Linked DNA regions of Mus musculus. The protein of the gene in region 1 purifies or fractionates together with the protein of each later gene. This does not show direct contact. Links are inferred from orthologs where the notes say so. Each region holds a gene or a part of one and is shown on either strand. Other genes may lie near its edges. The genes, in order: Ptp4a1, Cnnm4, Cnnm3 and Cnnm1.

Region 1 (5,208 bases):
GGCCCTCCCTGTTAGGTTGCACTTCTGAGTGCAAACATTAAATTAACTATAAGGCTTTTTGTCTGGAGACATTGTTGAAGATATGTGCTTCTGTAACAAAGTTGATTTTCAAACAGAGGTTTCCCAAAACAAAACAAAATGAGACAGACATATTAAATAATCAGCGCAAGACTTAGTTAAAAAAAAAAATAAAAAAAATAAAGGATGGCTAAGCAAACCTGACGTATTCTGGCATAAGTGTGGGAGATGTAAACAGAGTGAGCAGGCAGATAACGAGAGAAGCCCTGCAGTGTTTGAAATGACTGAAGGAATACACCATGGATGGTCTAGAGTTCTCAGTTCCTGCAATTTTGGTTCTGTATGATGCTAAAAATATACAAGTATTGTGCTGGGTATTTTGGCACCTAATCCTTCTAAATTCCTTATAGACTAATAATATTCTGGCACAGGAGTACATTTAATGACATAACTCAATACCTTATTTTAGGAAAGGTCAATTGGTACAAATAATAAGCACATTTTAAATGCTGACCAGCAAAAATCTTTTGCTAAGTGTCCAAACATGTTGATCATAGCCCAAATATAGAGGTTGCAATTCTGTCAAACTTGTGGCCTGGTAAGACTGGTTTTTCAGTATTCCTGTGGAGCTGCAGTAGACTTATTCAGTAAGCCGACACATTGGGTAATATGCATGACAAATCAGGTCCCATCTGAAGTTCCACTTCCAAGGCAATGGCATCAGGCACCCCAGTTTTATTGAATACAACAGTTGTTTCTATGACCATTGGAATCCTTGAAGCGGAGCCGCATTTTCGGACGGTACTTCTCCAGATACAAAAGTTGCTTGCTGTTAAAAGCTCCACGCCGCTTTCTGGAAGGAAGGAAAAAGACAAAGGACTTTTTGATCATGACAGAAGTTAGAAGGATGCTATTTCTGGTAGTAAGGAAATGAAGACCAAAGGGCCCACCTAGAACACTTGAGATTTCTAAATGTTATGCTAAGTGGTTTGATTTAACTTTTATCCTATAAATGATTGAGTCTAGGTCAAAACAACCTCCTCCCCCCAGCTATATGTATCTCAGCAAAATGTAGATTAACAACCACACTGGTCAAAAAGCAGAAAAAAAAAATTCCAACAATTATCTGCACGAATACAAAAAAGCCCCCTTCCCCCGCCTTAGTACAGTTTTCTTAAAGATATCAATTGGGGGGATAGTTAAGAGCACTTGCTGCTTCAACCAAAGGACCTAGTTTAAGTTCCCAACACCAACATGGTGGCCCACAGCCACCCATAACTTGACTCCCATGGTATTCAATGCCCTCTTCTGGCCTCTAAAGGCCACCACAGGCACACAACATATGCAGACAAAGTACATAGGTGGAAACCAACAGTTAATTGGTACATGGCTTGGATTTTACTTAGTTTAGATATTTAATAAGATTATGCAGGCATGAAAGAGGACGGCGGCGTTACTTACTGTCTTATGAATTGTACTGCATCTTCATATTTCATTCCACCTTCAATTAATGCTAGGGCAACAAGCACCGGAGCTCTGGTAATGTAAAAAGTTTGATCACTAATTAAACCCTGAAAAATTAATTGTTCATCTACCCCAGATCTTAAAAAAGTATAATCAATCAGTTCAACGACAGACTTAGTTTTGATGCTACAAGGCTTAGGATCTCGGCTACTTGGAAAGCTCAGACATTAGGGGTACATTTCAAGGCCTGGTGGGAGTGACTTCAAGACCAGCTGAGACAACTCAGTGAGTTATCTGAAATAAGACAACTGGGAAAGAGTATAGCATAGTGTTTGTTATGAGTCCTGTCCTGCATGCAGGAGGGTCAGAGTCACCCCAAAGAAAAGTCATAAGCATTAATACTTTCAATGTGGACCTTTACCTAGAATAGCAATTCTCAACCTGTGGACTCCATATCTGATCTTTATGATTCAGAACAGTAGCAACAAAATAATGCTTTGGTTGGAGGTCATCAGAACATGATTACATATGTATTACAGGGCTGCGGCATTAGGAAGGGTGAGGTCCACCAATCTAGATGGAGACTAGGGGATTTCCTTACCTGCCAAGGCCTGCGACACAATGGACAGCAATACAGCAACCAGGTTCTTCACGAAACTTAATCTTCACAAGACTTAGCCAGTCATCGACAATCTGGTTGGATGGTGGTGCACCATCATCAAAAGGCCAGTCCTGATTCAAAAGAAAAGTTTCAGAGTTTTAAATTGTCAAGGCACTGCGCATCCCTTTATCCCCAAATCCAGGAGAGGAGGCAGCCTGCGGAATTCACAGCACTTTCCTGGCTAACTGGGCAATGCAGGAAGACTCTCACACTGAGAGCAGACAAAAAATGTAATCACATGTTACTACTGTAGGATTTTGCCTTGACTTAAAAGCTATGAGGTCTGATTTGAATAAACTTCTGTAGTGTATGTAACGAAGACATGAAAACACAAGTACTTACAAGAACATGAATGCCTTCTTTCTCCACAAGAGTAGTGTCGTAAGTTGCTTCACATACTCTTACTATTGTGGTAACTCCATACTTCTTAAGTTCCTAGGAAACAATGCATATATTAAAAACATTAATGAGGTTTCTGGAACCGTATTCTTGCTGTGCCATCTGCACCTCTTTTGATCATGCTGGTAAACAAATGGCAAAACCTGTTTAATATGCTTGTTTCACATTATTAAGAGTAAAGAGGGCTACTAAATGCTACGTGTTATGTTGGGGGGTGTGGATGGAGGAATTCTGGTAAAACACACACTAAAAGCAAAATGCTGTGAGCACTTGGGTGCAGGTGGAGCGGCACCAGGTTAACCTCAGGTGCTCTTCACCTCATGCTCTCTCACTGTCTGGCACCTTACCAGAAGGCGAGGCTAGCAAGCCACGGAGCCCAAGGTGTCCCTGCCCCACCTACAACCGCTCAAGGTTTTCTAAATATGGATTCTGAAGAAGCAGCAGGGTTCTCTACATGAGCAGTGAACTGCTTTACTGACTGAGCCTCCTCAGACCTAAGTCTGAGAGTTATGTCACGATTTCAGTTTTAAAAAGCCATCATAAAAACTTAAGGCCTAAGGACACATTAAGTAATTATAACTCAACCCTGCTGACATTAGAAACATTGTAATTCAAAATTTAAAAAATTATGTAACATTTAAATATTTCTCTATTTGCTATCTAAGCATATGTAGATTTTTATACTTTATAAATGTAAGCTCAATTAAATTATTTGGCATTAAATTCCAATTCCTAGTACAAGCAAGTTGGGAGGCCTCATTATCTGCCATCAGAAAATAGCAGAATTAGCAGCTAAAAACTAGACTTAAAGCACAAATAAAATCAGACACCAACTAATGGAAGATTACAACACTAGGCTAAGAAGAAATAGGAAAAACTCTGTGCCTTGTAAATTTAACTAAGCAAACTTAGGGCTACATAGTTCTCAAGTGTAGCACACTTCTACCGTTCCAATATTTCTTCTCTGGGAGCGAGAGCTAGACACTTTCAAGCAGACCCACTATTAACTGTCATCAATTAGGACATTAAAAATTGTATCTTACCTCTATAAATTTGTTTAAGGTCGCATTGGTTGGATTGTGTGTAATAAGAAATCGCATGTTCTTGTATGTGACTTCCACAGGAGCAGGGCGGTTCATTCGAGCCATGTTAATTTAGTTTAAAAAAACACCCAATAGGGTTATGAAAGAATTAAAAAATTGAATACAGAAATGATTTAAAACCAAAACAGAAAAAAAAAAAAAAAAAACCAAAACAAAACCAAAAAACAACCTGAAGTCTACTTCAATATTCAATATACTCCACTTGAAATTCTCAGTGCTTGAGTATGAATTGGGAGAAACGGGCAATGAAATGAACCTCCTAACAAGAAGCAGTGAGTCTTCAATCCAGTAATACTGAGGCAATACAAAGGAAGTGCACTGAGGTTTACCCCATCCAGGTCTGAGCTCTTGTCAAATGCTCTGCAGATTTCAATTCAACACGCCTGTGTCCAGGTTATCCACTCTTATGGGGGTTTCTTGGTGGAGTAGTAATGAATTTCTACAGTTCACTTGTCTGCATAGAGGTCGTGCTGTGCCTGGCAGTAATCTCCACTGCCCTTCAGAAACTCCATAAATGTGTGACCGAGAACACCACAGAACTGCTGTTTAGAAGAAAAGGAAAGCAAGAAAGGGAAAAAAAGTTATTTTCTAATTCAAAAGGAATATGTCATGCTTTTTCCACTAAGTACACAGCTGCTCAAATTAGAGACAAGCTAATTTGACTTTTACTTGCATTACAAAATTCAAGGTTACTGCATTTTAAATCAATAGGCCTAAAATGAGCAATCACAAGCCCATTAAAGTGAAGCTCTCAACAATCAAGAACTCAGAGTCACAGCTACATAGGAATTCCACTTACACATCTAGACACATGGATTTAATTAATTAGTCCGTCTCTCTTTACACTTTTATTCTGGCCCGAATTGTGTCTTCTATACTGCCTTAGCCTGCTGTTCATAGACACTACTCTAGACGCCATGTGGTCTGACGCTTGCAGAATTCACAGACAGTGATTTCAACTGCCCACTAGTTCTGATTTCATATTTTATGTTATTAAGCTACTGGGTTCAAAGTAAGGAGTATGGCTTTTCTTCCAAACAAAACAAAACAAAACAAAAACACTTTTAATGCAATTACCCCTTTACATTTTAGTCTCTAAAGTTTAAATTTGGGGGCCTGCCTTTTTGTATTTTGTAGCAGCTCCTTTACATTTAAGAATAGTGTAAGCACAGTTATAGCTTTAGGTAAAGCTTCTCAGTCTGCAATTGGCACTGTCACTAACCTCTGGAGTGAAGTGTGTGGGAGGGAGGGTGGGTTCCATCCCAATCGATCAGACTTAAACAAGACGCTAGGACTCATCAGTAGGGAGGCTGCCTAGAATGCCAGGCCATCTTGTTTCTATAAACCACATTGCACTGCAGGATAATTCTCTAAGTGAAACTGTAAGCAATCTCCTTCTTAAAAGATCCTAAGAATTTTTATGCCATCTCTTTGGATCAGATTGGCTCTTATAAATACGGACTTATGGACTTACTTAGATCTTCAAACATATCCTACTTAAGACAAGTTCAAATAAAATATACACAATATTATCTTTTTGCTATTTTAAAACTCCAATTCCAC
Region 2 (6,032 bases), about 5.5 Mb from region 1:
GGCACCACACATGGCCCAGGGTCTGTCCATAAGGAGTGACCACCGTGTCACACTCTCATCTCCCTGACCCCCAGGACAGACTGCTCCTGCTTTTCCGTGAACTGCTTGGGCTCCACACTCTAAGGCCTGGACTCGGGCCACAAGCCTCTGTCAAGGAAAGTCTGGTGGACCAAACTGTGGGGGTAGGGCTCAGCCCAGAACAACTCTGGCCTAAGAGATGCCAGCTCTGCTTTTCCAGCTCAGTGAAGGACACTTCTTCACAGGACAGAGTAGAGTCCAAAACCCAGACCCTGCACTCTCCCACAGAACAGAGGTCATCCCTGCTGATCAAGAGCTGGACACCAAGTTAAGCCAATTCATACTAGTTGGATCCAGATCTAACCAAACTGATGGGGAGGTACTGGTGGGTATATCTGTCACCAGAAAACCACCTCAGACCACAGAGGCAGGTAAGAAAGAAGCTGTCATGGGAGTCCTCACCAGGTTCCAAATGAAGCCACTGCAGAGAAATTTTCAGGTTCCCCAGTTGCAAGATGGGAGTCGAAACACAGTCCCCAATGTTTCTACTCAGACTCCGAGCAAAACAGGTTCCTGGGTCTATACCACTAAATCTCCTTCCATGCCACCCAGACTATCTCTGTCCTGGTTTACAGTCCTCAAGATGCCCTCAGCTGCTCTGATGCTGAGATCTGTGTAGAAAACTTCAAAGGGAGAGCACCAACCTGCCTCCTTGGCCTTGACCCAGACCCAAGTGCACCTTCTGGTAAGGCCATCTCTTCTCTCCTGATCCCATTTCAAGACTGTCCACCACCTTCCAGTTTCAGAAATGACCCCGGACTTATCCACAACTAGTGGTTCCCAGCTTGAGCCTTTGCCAGAGACAGCTCTACATACAGGAGGATGGTTGGGTCTAGGATTATGAAGCAAGGTCCCTACAGAACGAGCTTCGGGGTCTTCTCTAAAGAGTCGCCCTTTCTTCCTCCTCACCTCCTTCAGCCTAGGAGGGTTTCACTTGATAACCTTGTTTCACAGCTACTTTTGAGGGTTTCAGAGTAGAAGAGGGAAGAAGTCTTTGTTGGGAATAAGGCAAAGGGTGTGTGCCCTGTCTGAGCTTGGAGGCTGGGGAGTAAACCCTCTTAAGTGCCTACCTACCTGGGAGCTAGCCAAGCACACACGAGAGAGCACACACAGAGCAAGGGCCCCTGAAGACTGGGAGTTGGGGGCAGGTTTATGTTTGGCTCTTGGGAAAGATGGAACAATAACCAAAGCTTGCTCTCCACGCTTCTGCTAAGCAGCGGGAACTGCACGTTGGCACTGTTCTGAGTTGGGAGCCGAGGAGAGACCTCCCAGTTTTGCTTGTGGGCTGGAGGGTGACTGACGGTTCTACCCTGGTGAGGACACACAGTTCCAAACCTGGAACAAACTCGGGGGGGAAAAGTGTGCAAAACTCCAACCCGTCCCCTGATGGCCATGGACCAGCAGAGCCAGAAGGTCCACTAGACAGAACCACCTGCTGAACCACAAGCGAATCCTTGGCTTCCTCACAAGAGGGGTGTGACCCAGGCCCAAGTCACTTCATCTTTTAAGATTCCCCTCAAATGTGCCTTCCCCTGTGACAACATCCTCAGCTCCCTGGCTACTTCCCCACCCACCCAGGAGGCCTGGTGGCTGCCTCATTTCAGGCATGAATGAGCCTTACCCTGTCTCCCTTCACCAGCTCCAGACAAGTGTATCTCCTTCAGCTTTGATTCAACTAAGCACAGAACACAGTGCCTGGCAGAAGGCAAAGGCTTGAGAACCGCTTCTGCTGCGCCTGATAACGTTCACACCAGAAGCATAGGAAGCCATGGACAGGGGGACCCAGAATAAATCGCACAAACAGAAGAGTAAAACCTGCAGACAGAGAGCATGCAGGGGATGCTTCAGGGGAACGAGAGGTATCAAAAGGACATTTAACCAGGAGCTACACCAGTCCTTACCCTTCTTAAATTCCTCTAGCATGGCATCCAGCTTGGTGTCATGAAAAACAAAATGTACCGGGTGGTTGTAGAAGCGAGTGATGGTCTTGAGCGGGGTGCAGTCATCCGGGTCAACAAAAGCCAAGTCTTTGACATACAGGATATCTACAATATTGGATTGCTCATCTTCAAACACAGGAATGCGAGTGTAGCCACTCTCCATAATCTCCGACATGGTGTTGAAGTCCAGAATGGCATCACTGCGGATCATGAAGCAGTCGTGTAGCTGGGTCATGATATCCTCCACAGTTTTGGTCCTTAGTTCCAGGGCACCCTGGATCATATTTAACTCCTCCTTCACCAAGTCATTATAGGGCTCTGTCACCTTCAACATCTCCATCAGCTTCTCCCGATTGTAAACAGTGCGAATCTCCTGACCTAAGACGAAGTCCAGGAGTTTGCTAATGGGGAAACTCAAGGGAAAAGTGAGGAGCATAAAGACTTTGGTGAGAACAATAGTGTTGGCACCCACAGCCAGCCCGTGCCGGGAGCACAGGGCTTGAGGTAAGATCTCCCCAAAGATGACAATGCCAATGGTAGAGGAGGCCACTGCCATGATGCCAGACCCGATGAGGTTGTCTAGAAGGATGGTGAGGGAGGTGTTGACTAGCACGTTCCCCAGGAGCAGCGAGCAGAGCAGGTAGTTGCCCTTGCGCCTGATGGGCTCTATCTTGCGAGCATACTTTCTCTCCTTCTCAGTTCCACAGTTCTGCACGATGCGCAGCTCCATCGGGTCCAGGGCCATAAGCCCCAGGTTGAGGCCAGAAAAGATGCCCGACAGCACCAACAGCACCATAACGAGAAGGATGTGCAGCCAGAGCGGCAGAAACCTCCCATGCTCCTCCACCATGAAGAGCAGGGAGTCCTTGTCCGTCCATCTGGTCCAGGGCCCGTCGGCCCGGGGCCGGGTGCACAGCGCGTACAGCTTCATGTTCTCGCTCCTCCGCAGGAACTTGGTAATCACCACTAGCATCCCCGACGTGTTCCCGCGGCTCACGTTGACCAGCCGCTGGACCACTAAGTCCTTGGTGAGCTCCAGGCAGTTGGTGGAGTTGTGGACCGCCTCGGCGTCGTCCACCTCGGTGAAGGAGATCAGGTTGCTGGAGATATCGCCCAGGCTGTGGCCATAGAGCCTCAAGTTCACCGTGCTGCCCTCGGACACGAAGATGATGCCATCCGGGTTCATCCCGCACGACTTGTTGCAGCTCGCTAGCCTCATGCCTAGGATCACGCTCTGCTGGGGGCTGCTCTGGCCGCTGGCCGCCCGCGTCCATAGCAGCAGCAGCGCAGCCAGGAGGAGGCGCCCTCGGGCCGGCCAGCCGTCCCGCCGCCCGCCCCCGCCCCCCGGCGCCATGTTGCTCCGGCCCCGCCGCTGCCCGCGCCCCGCCGCGCGCCTCACTCGGCGCCTCCGCTCCTGCCCTCCTGCCGCTCCGCTGCCGCCGCGCCAACTGCCCCAGCCGAGGACCTGACGTCAGACCGCGCCCCGCCCGCCCCGCCCCGCCGCCCCACGCCCCTTATTTGCATGCGATGTCCCGCCCCTACCCACGGCTCGCGCGCCCGGCTTAAGGAGGTCTGCGCCCTTAAGGTAGAACGGCGCGGGGCGAGCGCGGGAGCCCGCAGCGGGGGTGCGCCCAGCCAAGCTTCCGCGCGGCACCGGGCTTCTCCCGCGCTCCTCCTTAGGGAGCCCGGCTCCCAAGCCCCACGCGCTCGGTTGCTTCCGGGTCCCCTGCACTCTGTCGCTCCGTTCTGGGGCGGGTGGTGCTTCTCCGCGGGCACAGCGAGAAAAATGCATTTCCTGGTTTAGAAAAAGAAAAGGGAACCTGAGGGTTCAGGCTGGCGTTACAGCCTCCTTACTTCTGGGATTTTCGTTGACCTTGACCCAATGCCAGAAATAGGTTGTCACTGCCCCCGAAGTCCCCCAGCCCACTCCTCGGTTCTGTCTAGACCCCTAAGGTGCTGAGGGACCAGGCTCTGACCTAGGTTTTTCACCTGTCATTTCTATTTAGGGATGAGTTTTCATTGAACATGTACTCTTGTTTCATACTCTAACGATACGGCAATGAACAAGCCAAAATTCTTGCACATCTTTAGTTTACAGCCTATCATCAGAAAAATGGCAGTAAACAAGACAAGCCATACGGGGGCAGGAGGGGGAGCGCAATAAGCAAGTAAACACACACAGGAACACTAAGTGTTTTACTTCTTACAGATGCAAATTTTGAACCTAGGCACAAAATCCTAGGCCTTTCAGATCTTCACCGTTAATCCTAGTCCCTGTCTGTAAATGGCGGTAAGAATGACTGGTTTTTTTTTTTTTGTTTTGTTTTTGTTTTTTGTTTTTTGTTTGTTTTTTTTTTTTTTTTTTTTTGAGACAAGGTCTTACATAGCCCGATATGGCTTTGAACTCTTCAAATCTGAGGCTGACCTTGAACTCCCGATCCTATGTCCATTACCTCCCAAGTGCAGGGTTTACAGATATGCACCACCATGCCTGGATTGATTTTATTGTTTAGTTATGGTTTTAGTTTTTAATTTGACGGCAGGAAGAGTGATAACACAGCATCACCTGGCTAAGCACGTGAGAACAACTGGCTTACACACCGAATATGACATAACAACTCTCTGTGAATAGTCTTTGCCTGTGTAGTAATAGTTGTTGCTGCCTGCTCTTTCAGGACCATACCCTTAACCCCAAATTGTGGTGACTGGCCAGCTGAGGCAGCTGCTTGTGGAAATGAACTGAGGGGTGGGGCTGCTGTTCTAGCCTTGAGATCACTGCTTCCTGGTCAGCCCCACTTGGATGTCATCCGGCAGCTATGAACTCAGTGTGTGGGGATGACCACAGCTATCCACCCACAGCTGTCCACCCTGTGAAGGGCAGGACACGGATGACAAACATCCTTACCTCAGTTGCAAGAGCTATACTAAGCACAAGGCCTGGGTTGACCCCTGGGTCTCCCAGCAGGGCTTCTCCTGGCCCTAGAGACACAGTCCTTCTCTATGTCTCTGTACAAACCCCTGTGTTTATTTTTACTTTGGTACACAGCCTGCCAATTAAGGCAACAATCAATACCAGCAGCAAAAATCCAAACATAATGGAACACTCATGCAGTGTTGTGGGGGAGGCTGGGTAGCAGAGGCTGACTTAATGCTCTGGCATTGTGCTGGTGGGTTCTGTAAACAGCCAGCTGGAGGAAGTTCCTTGTGAGGAGGTGCCTCACCTTACACACACACACACACACACACACACACACACACACACACACACAGAGTGAGGCCAGAAGACCAGCTTTTTAGTGAACAGTACCCTCAGGAGTTGGGCAATTGCCCCCTCCCTGTCTTTGACAACCCAGAAGAGCCGCCCGGATTGTTTGACAGCAACCCCAGGTCCCTGGAAGCGCCTATCAGGCCTCATCATCATTCCAGAGGCTATTTTCATTTTGCCCTTTTCGGGTCTGTATTTACTCGTGCTCTATAGGTAGGCACTCAATCTAAGCGACAGAAGCCAACAAAGGAAAGAAAAATAAGTGTTTGAGCCACTTGGCTTGGAAGTCGAAGGGAAGGAGCAGGGAGAGAAAAGCAAGACAGAACAATGGTTGCTAGATAGGAACAGAAACGGGGTCTGTTAAAGTCAAGTTAACTCACAGTTGGATTCCCAAAGGAGAATAAGAATAGACTCCTTGAAGTAAGTGAAATTCAGGGCTGGAGAGATGGCTCAGTGGTTAAGAGCATCTGTTGCTCTTGCAGGAGACCCACAGGAGACAAGCTCAGTTTTCAGCACCCACATGGTGACTTATAACAGTCTGTAACTCCAGTTCCAGAGGATCCAATACCTTCTGTCCTCTGAGGGAACCGGATACACACATGCTATGCATACACACATGCTATGCATACACACATGCTATGCATAAACACATGCGGACAAAACCTTCATACACATAGGTAAACAATAGTTAATAAACAGTGGTAATGGTAATGTAAGAGGTATTGGAGGACGTCAGACTTGTGGCTCAG
Region 3 (5,874 bases), about 5.6 Mb from region 1:
TCTTCCCAGACCTTATAAGGCTTGCCCCTCATATCAACCTCTGTTCAAATGTTCCCTCCTTGATTACCTACATCTCCGTTAGCATCATCTCCCCAATGTTTCCTCGTCCTCTCCTTATAACACTTCCAACCGGGTCTTAAAATGTTTCCTGGGATCCCAGCACTGGTTCTGAGCACCACGAGGGTGGAAGCTGTTGTCCCTGCCAGAGTTCCAGCCTTTGGGAAGTTACCTGTCCCGCACACACTCAGTGTAGGAAATGCTTGTCACACGAGCAAATGAAGAGCACATGGAGCTAAGATGCACAAGCTAGCCAGGGAGATCATACCTTGCCCCCATTTATGAGGTGTTTGCTTTGTTACATTTTTTTATTGTTATTTTAAAATTGATGTTTGGCCAGGCAGTAGTGGCACATGTCTTTAATCCCAGCACTTGGGAGGCAGAGGCAGGTGGATTTCTGAGTTCGAGGCCAGCCTGGTCTACAGAGTTCCAGGACAGCCAGGGCTACACAGAGAAACACTGTCTCAAAAAAAAAATTGATGTTTGTATGTGTATGTTTGCGTGTATGCACATATGCCATGTGGGACTGTTTCAGTTATGTCTACAGAATCCATTTTAGAAAAAAAATTCAAGAGGCTGGAGAGATGGACTCAGTGGTTAAGAGCACTTACCACTCTTGCAGAAGGCCTGGTTCCCAGAACCAACATGGTGGCTCACAAATGTCAACTCTAGTTCCAGGGGATGTAGTGCCCTCTTCTAGCCTCCTTCGGCACCTGCATACACAACACACATACATACACTTGGGCCCACACAGACACAAAACAAAACAAAACATATGTATAAGATGTGTACATGTCTTAGTACATTTAGGGAGAAAGTAGAGAGAAAAATGCAAAAAACAGGGATACCCATAGAGAAGCTAATCCCATAAAGACCACATACAATGAACGAAGAATGCTCCATCTGATCATGCAGGTGTCTTCCAAAATAAGGACAAAAAGAACCCTCTCAAACAGCTTTCTCAACCCGAGGAATCAGAATAAACTGTGGTTGTGAAGCTAGCATGTATGGAAATTCCTGACAGCTGCTATCTCCCTGCATGGCTGAATGACCCGAATGTCAGGTGCATGTCAGAAACCAAAGGCACACAGAATCAGTCTCTAAACATCGTTTTATTGTAAGCTTAATTACATGAAACAAGTGTGAAGATTCAAGGAAACAGATTTTTCTGGGTTTGAGTATTTACTATGGACCTTCCTATCAAGGCATCTTCCTCAAAAGCAGGTGTCTGTCTTGATATCCACAGAGCCCAACGCAAAGCTAAGAGACTTTAGCTTTAAAACAAACCAATAGAGCTGGGTGAGGTTAAGAATGTGTGCTGAGGACCAGAGTTCAGTTCCCAGCACAGCTTCCCATTAGCTTGGAACTCCAGCTCCAGGGGGAATTCGACGCCCTCTTGCGTCTGCCCAAAGCACTGCCCTCGCAAGCGCAAACCCACATACAAATACAAATGATAAGAAAATGTTTTAAACAAACGACTCCAGGTTTCCCTGTGCCCAGTCCCTGGTTCTTATTCAGCCCTTAGCCTTGCTGGCCAGAGGGTTAATGACCTTCCTTTGCTCGTCCACACGCGCCGGGAACTCCGAGGCCGTCCCAGACAGCCGCCCCGCGTCCTCCCTTGCCTGCGGAGCCCCACGCCCCTCCGGCTCGCCCCGCCCCGCGCCGCTTGTTTACTCCCCGGCGCAGCCTAGTTCTCCCCAGAGCCCGCCCCCGCCAGCCGCTTATTGGTCAAAGTGACGCGGAGGCCCGCGCCGATTGGCTGCAACAACAGAGGCGCGGGTGAGTGGGGTAGGCTGCGCCCGAGGCCCAGAAGGGGTAGCAGGCCATGGCGGCGGCTGCTGCGGCTGTGGTGGGTTGGTTGGGCTGGGTGCTTGCCGCGTTCTGTCTGGGCAGCACCGCAGGGGAGGCGGCGCCGGCGCCGGGCGCGGGACTGCTGAACTTCTGCACGGAAGAGGACAGCGCACCGGGCGCGGGCTCCCTGCGCGGAAGGGCAGCGCCAGAGGCCACTTTGTGCTTGCGACTCTTCTGCTCCGGCTTGGCCAACAGCTCCTGGACCTGGGTAGCCGCCGAGGGCGCAGGCTGCCCGGAGGGCGGACGGGCCACGGAGCCCGAGGAGGCGGCCGCCCCGACGGGCGAGTGGCGCGCGCTGCTGCGCCTGCGCGCCGAGGCCGGCCACCCGCGCTCCGCGCTGCTGGCGGTGCGCGTGGAGCCGGGTGGTGGGGCCGCGGAGGAGGCGGCGCCGCCCTGGGCGCTGGGGCTGGGGGCGGCCGGGCTGCTGGCCCTGGCGGCGGTGGCGCGCGGCCTGCAGCTGAGCGCGCTGGCGCTGGCGCCGGCCGAGGTGCAGGTGCTGCGCGAGAGCGGCTCGGAGGCGGAGCGCGCGGCGGCGCGGCGCCTGGAACCCGCGCGGCGCTGGGCCGGCTGCGCCCTGGGCGCGCTGCTGCTTCTGGCCAGCCTGGCGCAGGCGGCACTGGCCGTGCTGCTGTACGGGGCGGCGGGCCAGCGCGCCGTGCCCGCCGTGCTGGGTTGCGCGGGGCTGGTGTTCCTGGTGGGTGAGGTGCTGCCGGCCGCCGTGAGCGGACGCTGGGCGCTGGCGCTGGCGCCGCGCGCGTTGGGCCTCAGCCGCCTGGCGGTGCTGCTCACCTTGCCCGTGGCGCTGCCGGTCGGGCAGCTGCTGGAGCTGGCAGCGCGGCCGGGGCGTCTGCGGGAGCGCGTGCTGGAGCTGGCGCGCGGCGGCGGCGACCCCTACAGCGACCTCAGCAAGGGAGTGCTGCGCTCCCGGACCGTGGAGGACGTGCTCACGCCGCTCGAAGACTGCTTTATGCTGGACTCCGGCACTGTCCTAGACTTCAGCGTCCTCGCCAGCATCATGCAGAGCGGCCACACGCGCATCCCAGTGTACGAGGAGGAGCGCTCCAACATCGTGGACATGCTCTACCTCAAAGACTTGGCTATCGTTGAGCCCGAGGACTGCACACCGCTCAGCACCATCACCCGCTTCTACAACCATCCACTCCACTTTGTCTTCAACGATACCAAACTGGACGCTGTCCTGGAGGAGTTCAAGCGAGGTAAGGGGACGCCCCTGTTAGAAAGGCCCCAGAAAGTGATGGCCTTGTACCTGCGAATGACCTTTGGAAATATTTAAAGACCCACCTTTTAGAAGCGGAAGGAAGTGCTATGGGAGTCTGATGCGGGAGGATCGGAAGGTGGTTACCCTGTTTGTTAAATAGAAAATTTTAAAAAAGTTGGGGATGTAGCTCAGTGCTTGCCTAACATACATGAAGCCCTGACCATTACCCAGTACCACATAAACCCAAGCAGTGGCCTACCTACTTAGAAGGATGGAAGCCGGCCTGGACTAAAGATTCTGTCTCAAAAGTAAATGAATGAATAAAAAGATCCATTGGCAGGCAGCAAGCATGCCTACTTGGCTCTAATCCCAGAGGTTTCCTTCTCCTGGGCTGTATTGTGCACTTGGGCTTCCTAGTTGCCCCAGATTCTTGGATAGTAACTAAAATGATGTCAAGAGGGTTAGGTAACTGGAAACTGTTGTCTTTGCCTTTTTAGCATTAAATTAGCTGGACCTGTAATGGTTCCTGGCCCTTTCAGATTGTGGGATTAGAAAGGACTCATAATACTTACTGTGGGTACTGAGAGAACTTCCATTTTAATGTCATCGGAAGCAACTCATGAATAATGACTTAATTTTCCTTCCTGGCTTTTTTCTCCCTCTTAATTTTTTTTTTTTTTGAGATTTTTATTGTTATGTTTATGAGTGCCTGTGTTGTTCCTCATGCATGCAGTGCCTATGGAAGCCAGAAGAAGGCGCTAGGTTCCTTGAGACTGGAATTACAGCCAGCCACCCTGCTGGTCCTGGGAACTGAACCCTGCATCCTCTGGTGCTCTTGCTTCCTCTCTTTCATTTAAATTGTTTTTCAGTGCATGTCAGCTACCTGCTCTTCCCTAACCCCATCTCCATTCTCCCCTTTTTTACCTTAATGTCTCCTTTCATTCTTTTTGAGCAACCCCTATTTTTTTGTTTTGTTTGTTTGTTTTGTTTTGTTTGTTTGTTTGAAACAGTGTTTCTCTGTGTAGCCCTGGCTGTCCAGGACCTCACTCTGTAGACCAGGCTGGCCTCAAACTCAGAAATCTGCCTGCCTCTGCCTCCCGAGTGCTGGGATTAAAGGCGGCGCCACCACGGCCTGGCGATCAGCCCTTTTTTGTTTTTTAAGATGTACTTATTTTCTGTGTGTGAGTGTTTTGCCTGCATGTGTTTATGTACACGGTGTGTGTGTCTGGTGCCTGAGACAGTCAGAAGAGGGCTTCGGATCCCCCAGAACTGGAGTTACAAATGGTTGTGAGGCACCGTATGGGTGCTGGCAACAAAACCCAGGTCTTCTGCAAGAGCAAATACATGTGAACATCTAAAGTTGAAAGTAAAAACTATGAGCCGCTCCACATATTTAAATGTGGACCCCTAGGGGACAGGTGGCACATACATTCAGTCCCAGCACTTAGGAAAGCAGAAGCAGGCGGATGTCTGAGTGCACGAACACCCAGGGCTACACAGTCTTGAAACAAAAACAAGGTATAGGCTCCTCTATAACACTCCATGCTCCTCCTTGGGCTGCTTTGCAGAGCATGGGTGCTCCTGCGCACCAGACGTGCTTCCTTGGAGTGGAGGGTGGATGTGCACCAGGGCTCTGGCTGGATTGGGCTGCATGATAGGGTGTAGCAAATGGAGCAAGCCCCCCTGAAGTGGGTCTCAGGCCCCAGGGCCTGTCAGTGATTTCTTGGACAGCCACTGCAAGAGGCAGCTCTCTGATGTGATGAGCTCGCTGCTCTTGTATTGAACTCAGCGTGTGCCAGGCTCTTGACGGGCACCCTGCATTCCCAGTCTCCCTTGTCTGTGCAGGAGACCTGTATATAGATCATGAATAAGTGAACAGGAGGCTTAAGTGGGCAGCTCTGATTGTGTCTGGCCTCTCAGGTGTGTCCTGGCTTTATCCTAGATCTTGGTCTTGCAGACTCTTTCTAGGGAGTGAGTAGGTAGTATAGTGTCTGGGCTGTTGTCACTTCTCACAGAGTGGGAGCCAGCCCTGCCTACTTCGAGTTCCCAGGTCCTAGGAAGACTGCCACGGCTCTCTCGCTCTGTTAGTTTATCAAAGAAGAGAGAGAGAGACTGAGATCTGGTGTGCTTGTCAGTCTAGTGACTCCTTCCTGGGAGATGGTATTTGTTAGCGCCCAGCAAATTAGCCTTTTAAGGGTGACCCTGGACAGATAGGGTCCATCTCTTCCAGAATCATCATAAGCCTTCTGTTAGGAGAGGAGTATAAGGACCATCGCTGTCCCTTTGATGCTCCAAAGTCTCTTTAGGTTTCTCAGTCTCATGAAGGACAATGGTGTACGCTTTGCCAGAGCAAGTTCTGGTTGACCTGTATCAATAGGAAAGACATGTCCCAGCTGAGGACAGAGGCAGGAGGAGTGTGAGTTTGAAGCCAGGTGGGATCGGGGAGGGGGGTGAGCAGGGGAGGTATTCATCATAGTGTCCCATTCCTCTGCAGCTCAGGTTAGGGCGGTGGAAGGGCGAGGGGCATCCCTGTCTGGAGAGAGCTGAATTTAAGCTTTGGGTGTTAGTATTGGTGTGAAGGACAACACAGATGAGAGCTGTTTCTCACTGCAGACCCTTAGTTAAAAGTGTTCACAGACAAAAAAAAAAAAAAAAAAAAAAAAAAAAAAGCCGGGCGTGGTGGCGCACACCTTTAATCCCAGCACTCGGGAGGCAGAGGCAGGTGGATTTCTGAGTTCAAGGCCAGC
Region 4 (4,381 bases), on another chromosome or scaffold:
GGTTTATCATGGCTACACAAATTTTAACAACTTACAATTTTTCATGTAAGTTGTTTTTTTTTTTTTTTCCTGCTTTTATTTTCACTTAAAACCTGAAGTTCTGTATCTGGCTCACAACTTGGTCTCTGTGTCCCCTGAACCTCCTCTTCTGAAGCAAGCTTATAGACTCGGGAAGCCCAAACTGACGTCTCTGGGAGATACAGGGACTCAGGGCTTCCTCTCTCTTTCTTCACTGCAGCCGAACTGCCCTTCCCCAGGCTGTGGGGAGAATCCACACACTAACAGGGAACAATCCTTGTCCATCTGTCCATCCCTGGAGCTGATTTTCACACCGGCTCCTCTAGACTCCAGTACACCTCTCTGCCCGCATCACTGTCTGAGCGAATGCTAAGCATGAACTATGGTAGAAAGCATTATTTTGTCCTGGAAGAAAGAATGGTGAATTCCAGGACATGGGTCTCCTGTGGCCCAGGGACACCAAAGAACAAAGATTATTATTGGGAGCCTCAGAATGGCATTCTCAGCTTTGCGTCGGCCCTGGCCAGTTCTTAGACTATGCTACAGACAAAACCATTTCTAGCGTCTTCCATTACAGGCGTCTCCTTCTGTGTCAGACTGGAGGCAACTGATAAAACGTGCCAGACTGACTGAGGGGTGAAGGGTGAAGGGCCGAATGTTCTGTCACTGATGGGAGGCCTTGGGGGTGGCGAGTGACGGGAGGGTGGGTCTTCCCCCAAAGCCTCAGAGTCTCACACTCAGCCAATGAGGGAAGACCTGGTCATGTGATCAGGGGCGTTAAATTGGAGTTTTCCTCGGAGGCTCGCTCCCCGTCTGCGGACTTCTTTCTTTTCCGGCCACCTGAAAAACAGGTTGTCAGCATCCATGGGGGGATGGGGGGGGGGGACGGGGGACGTTCACGCACTGTCAGCAGCCTGAGGACTCTTCTGTCCTCACAGACGCAGGAGGGGAGACATAGCCCTGCCTTGGAACTCATGCAATGGAACCATGGTGCGGATGTCTGCACCTTTACACCTTGAAGCACTTTCCCAAAAGAGGAGCATTTCTGAAAAGGCTCAGTCCCCCTGGCACTAGCGTATAGTAGAGGGTGCACAGAAGGGATTGAGGTAGTCCCCCAAAAGCCATCTCTCTTTTCCCTGGAAGGCCCCAGCTCAACTGACTGCCAGACACCACACAGTACTAGTCTCCCAGTCTTTCGTGTCCCATGGGCCACAGCTGGGTTCAGGACTTCCCCAGGGCCCTGGTTCAGGGCATCTCCCGCCTACCCTGGGCCAGGTGATGCTGATTGGATAATGCCCTCGAAGGCGGACTTTGGGGGTTTTCAGGAGCATTTTCATCCTGCTTTCTCAGCTGTTGACCTCTGTCTCAGGAGGAGGATGCTCTCCTTCCCCTCCTTAAAGAATATTTATTTCATGTGTGCGCATTTGCACATGTGTGTATGGATGTGTGTTGTCGTGTGGGTGCCACGGTGTCATTCTCTCCTCTCACCACGTGGGTCCTGGGCTCGAACTCAGGCCCTCAGGCCCGGCAGCAAGCACCCTCACCCACAGAGACATGGTCCAGCCCTTTGCTTTCCTTTCTTGGAGTCTCCTGGACACAGTTTTTTTCCCAAAGGACTATACAGTAAATATTATAGGTTTTACAGGCTCTAAGGTCTCTGTCACAATCGTTCAGTCTTACCACTGTGACTACATATGACAAACGGACCTATGGTCCAAAGGTCCCTACTATAAAAAAATCACATGACTAGTCAGAATTTGACTTTAAGACATGTCTGTAAGACTCCTGTCCTAGGAGATCACCAGTGCGATGGGACAGATTTGAGCAGTATCACAGGTGTGGCGCTGGCTCAGGCCCTGCTGTGGATTTCCAGAGCTGTGGTAAGAGTATGCAAGCCTCACCCCACCCCCTCCCCCCGGGAGGACAGGCCTCACTTGCTTTCCCAACTACTTGGTGAGGAGCTTTGGTCTGGGAGAGGGATACTCACTCAAGGTTCTCAGCAGCTTCTTGCCCATGTTTTCCTCAGAGTCGCTGCTGCAGGGGCTGGCCTCTGGATCCAGGTGGATATTACAGCATTCAGGATCCGAAGCTGAAGGGAGAGCAGACTCAGGTCTCCAACCTAAATGTCATCAGGGAGGTTCTGAGGGATGCCTTTCTGAGAGTGACAGACAGGGTCCAGGGGTGGGACCTCTCTGTGAGAGACAGGGTAAAAGGGTGGGACCTCTCTGTGAGTGACAGGGTAAAAGGGTGGGACCTCTCTGTGAGTGACAGGGTAAAAGGGTGGGACTCTCTGTGAGTGACAAGGTGAAAGGGTGGGGCCTCTCTGTGAGTGACAAGGTGAAAGGGTGGGGCCTCTCTGTGAGTGACAGGGTAAAAGGGTGGGACCTCTCTGTGAGTGACAGGGTAAAAGGGTGGGACCTCTCTGTGAGTGACAGTGTGAGAGAGAGAGAGAGACAGACAGACAGAGACAGAGACAGAGACAGGTAGACAGACTCCTGAAAGGTGTTGTTTATTAGTTGGCAAGTGACATTTTACTGCCACAAAGGGAACAGACAACAGGACCTGTAACCCAACAGTCTACTCAAAAGTCAGAATAATGACACCTCTGCAGATACCCTCTGGCAGGAGAGGGAGGAAGATCCTAAGTGTCCCTACTTAGTGTCTGTGCCAGACATTGAGCACTGTCATAACAGGGTGCACACCTGTGTCGTCTTAGAATCTTAGAGCCCAGAAAGGATTCAAGCCTCCCACCAACTGAGCTCTGACCCAGGGAGGCAGGGTGTGTGTTGGAAACTGACCTGCACCAGCAGCCCTGACGTGGAGGCCGCATCTACCATGGTCTTTGGGTGTGCGGGTGAGCCATTTCCCAAATCCTGGGAATTCTATGCCCCAGTCTTCCGGGTTCCACACGTTTCCTCTCTGATCTTACTACCTTAGGAGTCTTTCCACTTCTTTGCTTTGTATACTTGGTGTGGAAGAGGCCAGACCTGAAATACCGGGTTGAGGAACTTCTGGCCTGGTAGGTAGGTATATAGAGTGTCAAACACTTGGGAGTCTCACTGCTATTGGGACACAGGGAGTTTTGAGCAACTCTGCTGTCAAGACAGAAGTGCACTGTGTCTCATGTGAAGTGACCTGAGAATGCAGGGGTACTCCCTGACACCCCCCGAGACTGTGGCCTGCACTGTGGCCCAGAGGAAGGGGAAGGCCCTACCAGTGGGGTTAAGGGCTGATGTCAGTCTTCTTATTGTGGGGTAGTTCTAATATTTATGGAGCGGGATACTATACACTGATGTGCCCGATATAGACGCTATGCCACTTGAAACTGCCTTGTGAGATAACTACATCATCTATACTTATTCACTTACTCAAGGAAACTTACCTACTAAGGAAACTGAACCTTAGGCTGTGGTACTGTGGTGTACTGTGGTGGTACACTGTGGTGGTCCATGCCTGTAACCTGCCCAGGGAAGGCGGGCGCAGGAGGCTTGGAAGCTCAAGGTGGTTCTCTGTACAAAGTAAGCTTGTGGCCAGCCCAGATTACAAGATACCTTATCTTAAAAAAACAAAAACAAAACAAAAAAATCCTGAACTGGAGGGTTAGGGTCTGAATCCAGGCAGAAAATGCTCCTATCATTGCCCAAGTTTTCCTGGAAAGATGAATTGGATGGGCCCAATACATGATAGGTGCTTGGTAAATGCTGACCCTGCCCTCTTTTGTGTGTGTGTGTGTGTTTGTGTGTGTATGAGAGAGACAGAGAGAGAGAGACAGAGAGAGAGACAGACAGACAAAGATAGACAGACAGGAGCTGGAGACCCAGGGCTTCCCCAAGCCCTGTTTGCCAGAGTGATGATCTCCCTTTCTGCTCTGGACCCAGCCCTGACCTGCTGTTGTAGGAACTGCGACAGGGGACAGCGAGACTTGCTGTGACCTGTGCTCCTCAAAGTTGGGCATCTCTTCTTGGGGGAAGGCCATCTCCTCCATCCTCAGGTACACAACCTCGCCTGGGCTTCTCAGACCATCCGAGCGGCTGCCTATGGAGGACAGTGAGTAGGTTACCTCTGTGCCTGGGAGGAGACCTTGGGCTCTGTGAGGCACAAAATGCCTGCTAGGCAGAAGTGGAGGAGAAATGTAGAGCTGGTTTGGTTTTTTAAATCACAGAACAGCCCAACTCATCCACCAGACTGACTCACATGGCAAGCTGGTCCTGTTGCTCAGGAGGGTGAGGACCGGGTCGTCCTTTGGAGTCTGGGGTGTGCCCCGGGTGGTGGGGGCCTTGGTGGAGTCCCCATCAGTGAAGGCTTCCATATCCGGGGACTGGGGTGAGCTGTCCATGTGGCAGGCCGTGAGTGCGTTCTGGTA

What was found.
Region 2: the proteins of Ptp4a1 (region 1) and Cnnm4 purify together in Homo sapiens (affinity purification with mass spectrometry; 6 studies listed by BioGRID and IntAct, with this or other methods). This does not show direct contact. The link is inferred for Mus musculus from reciprocal best matches to the Homo sapiens genes PTP4A1 and CNNM4.
Region 3: the proteins of Ptp4a1 (region 1) and Cnnm3 purify together in Homo sapiens (affinity purification with mass spectrometry; 6 studies listed by BioGRID and IntAct, with this or other methods). This does not show direct contact. The link is inferred for Mus musculus from reciprocal best matches to the Homo sapiens genes PTP4A1 and CNNM3.
Region 4: the proteins of Ptp4a1 (region 1) and Cnnm1 purify together in Homo sapiens (affinity purification with mass spectrometry; 4 studies listed by BioGRID and IntAct, with this or other methods). This does not show direct contact. The link is inferred for Mus musculus from reciprocal best matches to the Homo sapiens genes PTP4A1 and CNNM1.

The regions. Positions count from the first base shown.
Region 1 is NC_000067.6:30,942,453-30,947,660, forward strand, and holds part of Ptp4a1 (protein tyrosine phosphatase type IVA 1), read right to left. Parts: intron 4,188-5,208; 5' UTR 3,691-4,187; coding exon 3,586-3,690; intron 2,579-3,585; coding exon 2,486-2,578; intron 2,215-2,485; coding exon 2,084-2,214; intron 1,555-2,083; coding exon 1,480-1,554; intron 872-1,479; coding exon 754-871; 3' UTR 1-753. UniProt on the Homo sapiens protein: Protein tyrosine phosphatase which stimulates progression from G1 into S phase during mitosis. May play a role in the development and maintenance of differentiating epithelial tissues.
Region 2 is NC_000067.6:36,469,033-36,475,064, reverse strand, and holds the start of Cnnm4 (metal transporter CNNM4 precursor), read right to left. Parts: upstream 3,469-6,032; 5' UTR 3,373-3,468; coding exon 1,980-3,372; intron 1-1,979. UniProt on the Homo sapiens protein: Probable metal transporter. The interaction with the metal ion chaperone COX11 suggests that it may play a role in sensory neuron functions. May play a role in biomineralization and retinal function.
Region 3 is NC_000067.6:36,510,029-36,515,902, forward strand, and holds the start of Cnnm3 (metal transporter CNNM3 isoform 1 precursor), read left to right. Parts: upstream 1-1,838; 5' UTR 1,839-1,882; coding exon 1,883-3,125; intron 3,126-5,874. UniProt on the Homo sapiens protein: Probable metal transporter.
Region 4 is NC_000085.6:43,491,436-43,495,816, reverse strand, and holds part of Cnnm1 (metal transporter CNNM1), read right to left. Parts: coding exon 4,213-4,381; intron 4,054-4,212; coding exon 3,904-4,053; intron 2,138-3,903; coding exon of another isoform or gene 2,108-2,137; coding exon 2,006-2,107; intron 859-2,005; coding exon 779-858; 3' UTR 1-778. UniProt on the Homo sapiens protein: Probable metal transporter.